2 linked regions of the Drosophila melanogaster genome follow. The protein of the gene in region 1 interacts with the protein of each later gene in a pairwise test. Each region holds a gene or a part of one and is shown on either strand. Other genes may lie near its edges. The genes, in order: mEFTs and ergic53.

The links.
Region 2: the proteins of mEFTs (region 1) and ergic53 interact in a two-hybrid assay, tested with the Drosophila melanogaster proteins (one large-scale study listed by BioGRID).

The regions. Positions count from the first base shown.
Region 1 is NT_033779.5:17,498,455-17,502,726, reverse strand, and holds mEFTs (mitochondrial translation elongation factor Ts), read left to right. Parts: upstream 1-1,620; 5' UTR 1,621-2,058; coding exon 2,059-2,235; intron 2,236-2,443; coding exon 2,444-2,692; intron 2,693-2,797; coding exon 2,798-3,328; 3' UTR 3,329-3,459; downstream 3,460-4,272. Other genes in the region: Dhc36C (dynein heavy chain at 36C), read right to left, coding at 441-665, 728-1,260; CG15142 (uncharacterized protein), read left to right, coding at 3,965-4,272. UniProt on the Drosophila melanogaster protein: Associates with the EF-Tu.GDP complex and induces the exchange of GDP to GTP. It remains bound to the aminoacyl-tRNA.EF-Tu.GTP complex up to the GTP hydrolysis stage on the ribosome.
Region 2 is NT_037436.4:8,532,931-8,538,651, reverse strand, and holds ergic53 (ergic53), read right to left. Parts: upstream 3,676-5,721; 5' UTR 3,647-3,675; coding exon 3,466-3,646; intron 3,279-3,465; coding exon 2,560-3,278; intron 2,485-2,559; coding exon 2,009-2,484; intron 1,762-2,008; coding exon 1,636-1,761; intron 1,571-1,635; coding exon 1,534-1,570; 3' UTR 639-1,533; downstream 1-638. Other genes in the region: foi (fear-of-intimacy), read right to left, coding at 5,547-5,711.

The sequences.
Region 1 (4,272 bases):
CCTGCCTGCCTGCCGCCTGCCTCCCTTTTTACAATGCGCACAATTTACGTGGCACTTGGTGCGGGTGTAATTTATTTTAATTAAAAAATTTGAATTTCCCACACGCTCGGAAGTTTCTAACTTTAAATTCCCGCCCTTCGCTTGCATTGGTTTTTCAACTTTGTCGAACCAAACAACGCATGCATTTCAATATCAATTACGCTACTCTGATTTTGCCTCTCAAAATCCATTTGGCTTAAGAGAAGTTGCAATTTCATCTGCATTGCTGTATTTTTTTCTTTTTTTTTTTTGCATAGAAAAAGCTAACGAAAAACGTGAAAAATGTTTCTATATTCTGCCTGGATTATACACTTTTAACGGATCAAAAGTTTCATTTGCCATTTATCGAATAGAAATCGAAGACTTTTATCGAATTTGACATTAGCATCATGGAGACTCACCGATAGCGCCAAAAGTTCGTCATGGATTGCACCTCCCGCCGCTCGGCGGTGTCGTATTTGCCACCCACGCCCTCCTTGGTTAGGCGATCGAGGACCGTGTGCCGCAGGACGAAGTCCACAACGGCCTTCTTCATGGCGAACACGTAGTCCGCCCGGACTTCGGCTATGTTTTCATTGAGTGCCGTCTGCCACTTGTAGAGCAGTGGTGGCACAAGATCGGTTATCCTGCAGACGGAAAGCAGTTAGCAAAAAAGCAGATACATTTGAAAGTGTTCAGTGGAACGCACCTCTTGAGGATCTTCTTGCTCAACGGCGACACGTGAATGGTGTCAATGCCATGCTTGATGTAATAGTAATATCGCAGAATCTCGCGCTCCTCCTGGTCGGGAAAGGGTACGGCGCACTGGGCGGCCAGCTCGGGATCCTGGTCGTCGTCCATGTGCAGGATGAGCTCCACCAGCTTGCGGCGGAAGTGCTCCCGCTCCAGTCGCATGGTCATGTAGTTGGCCTTGGCCACGCCGCTCTCACGCTTCTTCTGGCGTTTCTTCTGCTGTTTCTTCGCGCAGAGTATGTTGTCCGGCAGGTCGGATTTCATCTTGCCGTCCAGCAGGGAGCTGGCGCATTCCGGCATGTTCAGTTCGTACCACAGGCGACGCGACTTGTACTCCGGATTGGCCTTTGACTGCAGGATGCTCTGCAGCACATCCGGCTTGGGTCGCGTGTACAGCATCTTCGACTTCTCGCATAGGCGGCGACCGCCGCATATGGACGTGAAGCTGGGGATGCTGAACTCCCGATTCGGATTCTGTCTGCCCTGCATGTTGAAGCCTGAAATCGGTTCAACGTTCGAATCAAAATGTGACTACAGAAAATGAAAATTGTTTTCAATAATTGTTTTTGAAACATAAAACGATTGTATCCCGCCGAGTTATTAATCAAAGTACTATTTAAAGTAAAAAAAAACACTAAAATATTAATTAAGAAAATAACTACGTGCGCCAGAATTAAAAAAAAAACTATTTATTAGGTTTAAGTTTTAAATATTTGGTTTCAATCCATTTCGAATCGGTTGTAACCGGTAATAGGTTGTAACATCCACTAAACGTCATTTGGCCAACGATAGCGTCGCCACTATCGATAGTCGCTTCGCAACAGCTGTTCTCCGCACACGCGCCCTACCGGCTTTTTTGCCATCCCTAACAGCCGAATTGTGCAACACGGAAAATTGTCAAAATTTTCAGTTTCAAAATTAATTGCTCGAATTAAGCACACAGAAAAGCCGAAAACTAAACTATCGACGCTTACCAGTCGTTCACCTATCGAGGCACCACACTCGCTTTGGATTTATTCGCGCCGCAACGCGATTAATTTTTCTTGAACCGAAGCGAACATACGAAGGAGTTGAAAACAAATGCAAATCTCACACAGGCTTTTCCGTTGTTTAGAATGAATTGATTTTCCGGGCAACTACTACATAGCGACAGGTCGGAAAACGGAAAAACAAACAAGCCGGCGAGTTGCCCTTGACAGCAGGCAAAGAGCAACAATTCAATTCGCACACAAATCACGCTAGAAATCATTTTGGCCTCCCAGTAAATTTCGGAAATTTTTTGGAAAAATGCTGCTACAAAGGTTTTTCACACGCGCACTTCACTCCACGCGGCAGCTTTATGCCGGCTCTGGCGGATCCGGTGGCCTGGAGAAGAGTGCCCTGGCGGCGCTGAGGAAGAAAACCGGATACACCTTCGCCAATTGCAAGAAGGCGCTGGAGAAGCACAACAACGACGTCGGATTGGTGGGTAGTTGGCTAATAGTTTTATTGCAAGCGGTGCAGTGAGCTTTCCATTACAAAGAGCACGAAATGGGGATCTCTACATTTTGAAAAATTGCTGATTTTTCTATATTATTATGTAATATATATAGCTGCACCGCATGCAAACTCCTTTGTGATCAAAACACATCTGTGCTAATCAACTCACCTTGCCATCATCTCGCTCTTGCAGGCTGAAAAGTGGCTGCACGAGCAGGCCCAGACCCTCGGCTGGTCGAAGGCCACCAAGGTCGCAGATCGAGCCACTGCACATGGTCTGATTGGAGTGCTCATCCGCGGAAACCGGGGCGCCATGGTCGAGCTGAATTGCGAGACGGATTTCGTAGCCAGGAACGATACCTTCAAGCGGTTCGTTGACCACGTCGCCTGCATGTGTCTGCAATACACGGACTTGACGGACTTCGATGGAGATCTGTGGAAGGTGAGCGAGATTTTTATGGGAAATGTACACAATATTTGGATCAGAACCGGTTTTGCATCCATTCCTAAAGAAATTGCTAATTAAAGAATGTGCATATCCTTTCAGCTTGGCTTTGATGCGGACGCCCTCAGAAACTTGCGCACGGAGGAGGGACGCACGTTGGGCGACCACCTGGCTCTGCTGATCGGCGCCATCGGGGAGAATGCCACCATCCGGCGCGCATTGTGCTTTAAGGCTAACAACGACCTGAAGCTGGTGGGCTACGCCCATCCCGCACCCACCAATGTGGGCACCACGGAAGGCATCACCCAGGTGGGCAAGTACGGAGCGATCGTAGCCTACCGATCCACGCACCCCCTGCTGGACTTTGAGTTTCACAAGAGCATTTGCCAGCAAATCGTGGGCATGAAGCCGACAAAGATCGGCGAATATGACAAGGACAAGCCGGCGGAGAACAAGGACGATGAGACGTGCCTGATTCACCAGGAGTATCTGCTCGATGCGGACAAGACGGTGGGCGAGGCTTTGCAGGAGCACAACTGCGAGATCGTCGACTACCATCGCTTCGAGTGCGGAGAGCACACGGAACGCAGCCTGGAGGCGATCATTCGCTCGCAGCACCAGAGCAGCAATTAACTAGCCATTAAGCAGAGTCTAGAACACTAAATTGTTATTAGCACAACAGCTGAAGATTGTTAAAACCGAAATTCTGGACAATGTTCTGGTCAAAATTTGCATGTAAAACAAGTAAAACAACCATTACGATCAGATCTCCACCTCTCTTATTTGAATACGCCATACCCCATGAGTCATGGCAAAAAATTGGGGTGACCAAGGAGAATGCGCCTGCGCAGAACGGGAAGCACGCTTGAGCGGCTTCCGGTCGCTGAAGCAGTGGAACCCGCGGGAAGAACGGGCGAATGGACAACGCCAGCAGAATGAACTGTTTACAAACGTGTTTTTTTGTTCTGCTTCCCGTAATTACCCACTTGGTCATGCGATAGCCCAAAAGAAAGAGCAAAAAGAAAGGTTTTTAGCTTTGGGGGCAAAGGCAAAAACCAAGTGAGGGTTGGGTATGCCACTTGCTTGGGGCTCATGTTAAGGAAATGGGAGTACGAGTAGATTTGGCCAGGGAGGAAAATCAAAATAGAAGAAATGGTTTTCCAGCCCTAAGAAATTTGCAGCACTGAAATATTAGCTACTAAGTAGGCCTGTCAAATAAATCCCTTTCATTATCAACCATCGATCGTCGTTAGAGATTCAATCGCCAAAATGGACTACCTGGACATTGAATCCTTCCGCTCCAGGTACAGCGACATAACCGTCACGGCCGTGCCATCGCGCCCCAAGGCGGACGAGGAGCCAGCAATGGACACCAACCAGGAGCTAGCAATCAAGACGCATGTGCCACAAGTGGAGATAACGAGGGTGAGTGGAGCCGCTTCTGCTGGCAGTAGCTCCACTGCGAATGCAGCGATGATGCTGCGCAACAGGCAGCAGACAAACAGCGCCGCACTTGCCTACGCCAACGAGTACAAGGAGGTGATGGCCAAACTGGAGTACACCAAGTACATGCAGGC
Region 2 (5,721 bases), on another chromosome or scaffold:
AAAAACCCAACGGCACGAAACCATTTTCTCTGTTTGCAAGCCTCATGCCGATTGGCTGTTATAAAAAGTTAATAGCCGTTCAAGTCCCCCTTCCAAACCACTTGGAAACTGGTCCTGCTCCTGCGCAGTGAAAGTATATAGGAAACGGAGCACATAGGCGAAGCTACCATCCAACCGCACACCAGAACTGTGTAACCCATTCCCCGATCCCGTAGAGAATTTATTGCATGGGCCGCGACTGCCGTTGGCTTCTGTCCATCTATCTTTGGCTGTGCTTTTCCTGGGATTTTCCCCAATGCGATGGAATGGGTACTCAGACCACAGAGGACCTGCCCACAATGCCACCATTGGCAGTTACATTTTATGGCCAAAGTTCACCAGAACCCAACTCGTTCCCCAGCCCCACGCATTCTGGCGACCAAGTGGCGCCATTTTTGCCGCATTGTCATCGATGGGAGGATGAAGATGGGGATGGGCAACTGACAGGGATTCTAGTTTATGCTTGCGAGGACTTTTCAAGAAATAAACTTTTTCCTCTGTCGACATCAGCGAAAATAATATCGCATTCGGAAAAGTATAAAAATAAAATGAGGACGCAGATTAAAACTATCAAGTTGAACAGTTGGAGATAGATTTTTCTATAAATTGATTTTTATTTTCACTTTAAACATTTCTATCGAGACTGGAATGGACAACATATATAAAAACACACTTCACTTCAATTGTTTTATAATTTATCAGTATGTATATTAAGATTATTCAGTAGAAAACTTCCTTACATCGCACCAGTGACGATGCGAACCGAACAAAAACTTAGTGAGACAGTTCATCATAATTATTAAATTAATTCACTTTCTGGCGTAATAACAAAAATGCTGGCTAACTAGCTTTGTTGACCATTTGGCGCATGAAAATGGGAAAAAAGATTTATGTTGCCAATTCAGTTTCAAGAGCCGAGCCTGATGGATTCATCTCAACTCTAAAGTATACAAGATATTACAAAAATTTGCTACGTTTACGGAATTTTCGTACTTATATAGATTTTGCCATTTTTATTTTTATTTTTTTTTAGATAGATTTTCTTGTGCTTCTTATAAATGCCTGCACACATGATATGCAGAGTTGAGAATGGAGTGAAACTTTCGACTTGACTTGCTAAAACAAATATGAAACATCTTCTGTTGGCTATTACTAAGGGAAGTTTGTCTTGTGGCTTCTTCGACGGTTTCTTCGTTTTGTATTGCGTGGCATTGTCATGAGGCATACATCATTGATCAAATTTCTTGTTCTTGCTTTGATTAAGTAACGACTTGAGTTTGTATTCGTGACCTGACTTCTTAAACAGACTTCTATTTAAAAAACAAACAGTTACACATAATGGTAGAGCATGCTACGCTGAAGTCTTAAATCTTTCATTTTAACTAAATTTAGTTGCTGCCTAGTCAGGTGTGCGAATCTGTTTCCTCGTGATTTCTGTGGGTGTATGCTTGTGTGTTTGTTATTCGTTACGATCCCAATAAGTCGCGAATTCGCCTAATAGAACTTTTTCGCCTGTGCTTCGCTGCGGTTTCTGCAAGGAATAATAAGTTAGATTGTTTAGTTTCGAATCCACGCTTAAAGATTCCATGAACTCACTTGAAGACGTTGTAGATGAAGACTAGCAGCAGTTGCACAACAGTTACGCTTAGGAACAATGTGACTCCAACGCAATTGCCCGTGGGACAATTGGCCACCTGCGCTGCTCCCTGTGGCGCTGCCAATCTGCAAGGTAAGGGAATGCATATTGAGTATCAAGGAGGTACTTAAAAGATGACAATAAAGTATAATAGTCTAAAACTCATAAACATGTTCCTCTGAATCAAACTTGTTAAAACTCTAATTTCATAATGTGGAATACGAAAAATTAGTATAAATATGGCTGAAAAGGTTAAAATTAATTCGAGCTCAGAATAACTTCGATGACAACAGCTTTAGGAAACTTAAAATAGACTTTGAGCGTATTCCTCACCTTTGGCCCACGTGGGTGATGCCCTGCTTGACCTGATTCATGCCATCGCGCATCTCGGCGATGAGCGTTTGTACATCATAGCCGGTGGATTGGATTTGTGCTGTGGGCGCATGCTTCTGATTCGTTTGAATGTTATCAGTGCGCACATTGATATCGCCAACCAGTTGACGAATCTCGCGGATGGAACTGAGCAGCATGTTCTGATTAGTGAGCAGAAGATCTACATCGCTCCTGCTGACTGCGCCAACGGGCAGCTGTTGCTGTGGCACTCCGCCGGCGGCGGGCGGAGGCAGAGCCTGTCCAGCATTACGTGAGACCAGCGACAGCGTGGTCTCCTGGCGGCCAATAATCTCATCCACTTTGCGGGAAAGTTCGCGTAGGTGATCGGCAATTTGGCTCTGACCCTGCCAGATCTGACGCAGCTCACGCTGGTTCTCCGACTCGTAGAACTCCTCCCAGTCCTCCTCGTCTTTGTGCTGTGGGATTATACGAAAGTTGATTATCAAAACTAGCGATAAGACATCTTTATCAGCTGGCTGCGTGGCAATTACCTCGTCGGGATGGTCCTTCTTGTACTCCTGCTTCTGTTTCTCCAGTTTATCTTGGTATTCCTTGTACTCTTGCGTAAGCTTCTCCTGGTTTTCCACCTTGGGCTGCTCCTGAACTTGTCCAGCGGCATGCAACGACGTGGTCAGGAAATGGAACACATCGTGGTCATCGGCCAGACCGCCCGTGGCGGCGGAAATGCCAAAGTAGCCGTTCTTGGGCAGATTGACGCCATCCGCTCTCAGACACAGCTCGTAGTCATCGTTGTTGTTGGACATTCCGTTGTGGATCATGACGGTAAGCACGTTGTTGTAGTACTCGATTCGCGCCCGTGTAGGGAAGGGCTTGTTACGGAAATCCCTGAGGCAACCGCTCAGGAGCTGAGTGGTTCCATCTTCGGCATGGTCATACAGCTTGGTGCCATCATTGAGCACGGCACTGATGTAAGGATTGTTGTGCTTGTTGTCATTATCGAAGGAATCGAACATGATGGCCAGACCATTCCAGCGGTCCGAGGATCCGAACACAGGCCCATTGTAGTCACCCTTTTCCGTGGTGTACCAGAAGGCCAATCCATCGGCTCCGATCCTGCCACGTCCCGTCACCCGGAACACGATCTCCACGTCCCACCAGTCGAAGTTCGTCTGTGACTTTGTCCAGATGGCACCCTTCTGTGAGCGCAGCGATGGCGCCACGCGCACACTTTCCGAACTGGCGATGGCATCTGAAATGAGGAGCAACAAGTTGTGGCTATAGAAACACCCGAAACCGTGGTCAAAACGACATCCAAACAAAGTGCCTGCGTGTACACTTGGCCGCCTCGCGCCATCTCGCTCGCACCCATGGCCGCAGACCAGCAGCGAGTGGGCCAAAACAACTGACGTGGAGCTGCGTCTTCCACTCGTACTCACTTCCCCCGTACTCCCAAAACGGCACGGTGCCGTCTTTCTGTGCCAAATACGGCGGCTTGAACGAGTACTTGTACTCGAAGCGACGGTGCACGCCCACGGCTCCAGGACTCAGATTGCCGGTCGCCTCGGAGCTGGGATTCCACGCCAGGAAGCACAAAATGGCCAGGAATGTGGGCCGCATCTTTGCAATTATATGTTGACAACTAGTGGTGGGTGGGCGACGATGGTGCAAACTGATGATATCGATAACCAGCCGGCACCGATAGGCGGTGGTATCGCACTGGATGTTCTAAAAGCATTGTATAATTTAAAATCAAATATTATTTTATGTATTGTCTACCATTAACAATTAAGGTAATATAATATAAATTGATTAGAACATTTATTTAGGCCATCCTTCGTATATAAATGTTGAACTTAAATAAAACCAGCCATCCTATAACAATTAACTTCAGCTTAGATCACAATTTAAAATTCTATAAGATAAAAGTTTTTCCATGCATTCTAAGAAACAAGAACCAAGTGATCTAAAAAATATTCAGGCAGCGACAATACAATCGCTATCGATTTCGGTAGATTTTATATCGATATCGCAAATGCCCACCAAATTCAAAAGATCTTGTTATCACTTTATGATGTTGAGGTGGAAAAACATTTATTTTGAAAATTTAAAGTGTTTACGTCCCGTTAGAAAATAAACATAAATATAGCAAAATACGCGCCATTCGCATGTGCTTACATAGATACATGTTTATCAATACGTTATTGTAAAATTATTTCGTTAGTTGTTTCAATTGCCTTTTGCGTGATATCACCAAAGTAGTATTACATCCATATCTCCAAAATTCCTTTAGCACAGTTAGCACAGTGTGTGTATATATGTTTACATCTTTATTCTTTGTTTCTGATTTCCTACCGTTTGTAGTTTTCGTAGAGCTTACAGCTAGAATTATTATAGGTTTTAATGCCTCGGTAGCACATAGTGTGGGCTTCATAAAATATTGTTAGTTGCTCAGTTTACACAAGTGATAGCTTTGTGTGCAGATCGGTGTGTGGGGGATAGTCATTAGGGGCGATCGTGCCGCAAGTTTCGCCATTTTACAAATGTTAGTTACTTATTTTGAATCACAATCACTTTCGTGTTAGTTCTGTGCGCGATCAAAAGAAAAACTCAAATCGATTAAAACAAAATCAAAGTCTTTGTTTTAGCTTGATTTATTACAAAATTATAATTAAACGAAGGCGCTACAGTGTAGCGAAAATCTAAATTATGCATGATGGTGCAATATAATAATCTTTTCAATTTATTACAAATACGATAATAAATTAAGCTTAAATGGGTTTTGTGTACATTTCCCGAAAGAGGAAATATGCGTTCAAGTCGTTAAGTACTGTAGAAAATCATAACAGCGGTGGACATACCTTTATTTTGGGTTTAGAATGTTAAACTCGCATAAAGTAAACGTGCGCACTCTAGACTACAAAATACAAAAAGTATATGTATGTATACATATCCTACAATATATATGTATATTTATATATAATATATCGTAATTTTTAGGTTCTCTTTCGTGTATAAGATCAGTAATTAGAGGATTGTGGGATCCAGATCCAATCCATTTTTTGTTACTTCCTTTTCTCATTTGACAGCATCACGGCATGCTTTTCAAATGTTTTCATCTAAATTCAAGATCACTTTATAACCTAGCCAATTTCAAGACATCTTACATTAAATTGGGTGTGAAATGGATTCGAACGCAGTTCAATAGCAAAATTAGGAACGAAAATAAAACGAGTTTGATGAATTGCGTCGCTTGTGTGTGGGTGTGAGGTTGTGTGTTTCATAAACTGGATAACAAATGCGTTTGATAAGCGCCAACCGGCTGTGTCTGTGGTTCTGTTTTGTCTAACTCTGTGAACTAATAATGTAAACAACAATGTAATGAAATTATACAAAAAATAATAATTCAAGAGGTTCTATAGGCTTGGCGGAAAAAATGCAGTTAATACACAAGATTCGCTGCAATTCACATAATACGCTACAAGATTCGCTGCGGTTGGTTACAATTTCACTTATGTTATTAGTGCGCGTGCTGGTGTGATGCGGCTCCCGCTGTGCCGAACGCGCTCATCAGATCGCCCTCGTAAAGGGCAATCAATAGCATTATCCCCACTCCGCTGAGCATGCCGAGAATCTGCAGCAGAAACTGGCCCAGTGATTTGTGCGAGGCCGAGATCTCTGGCATCTGACAAATA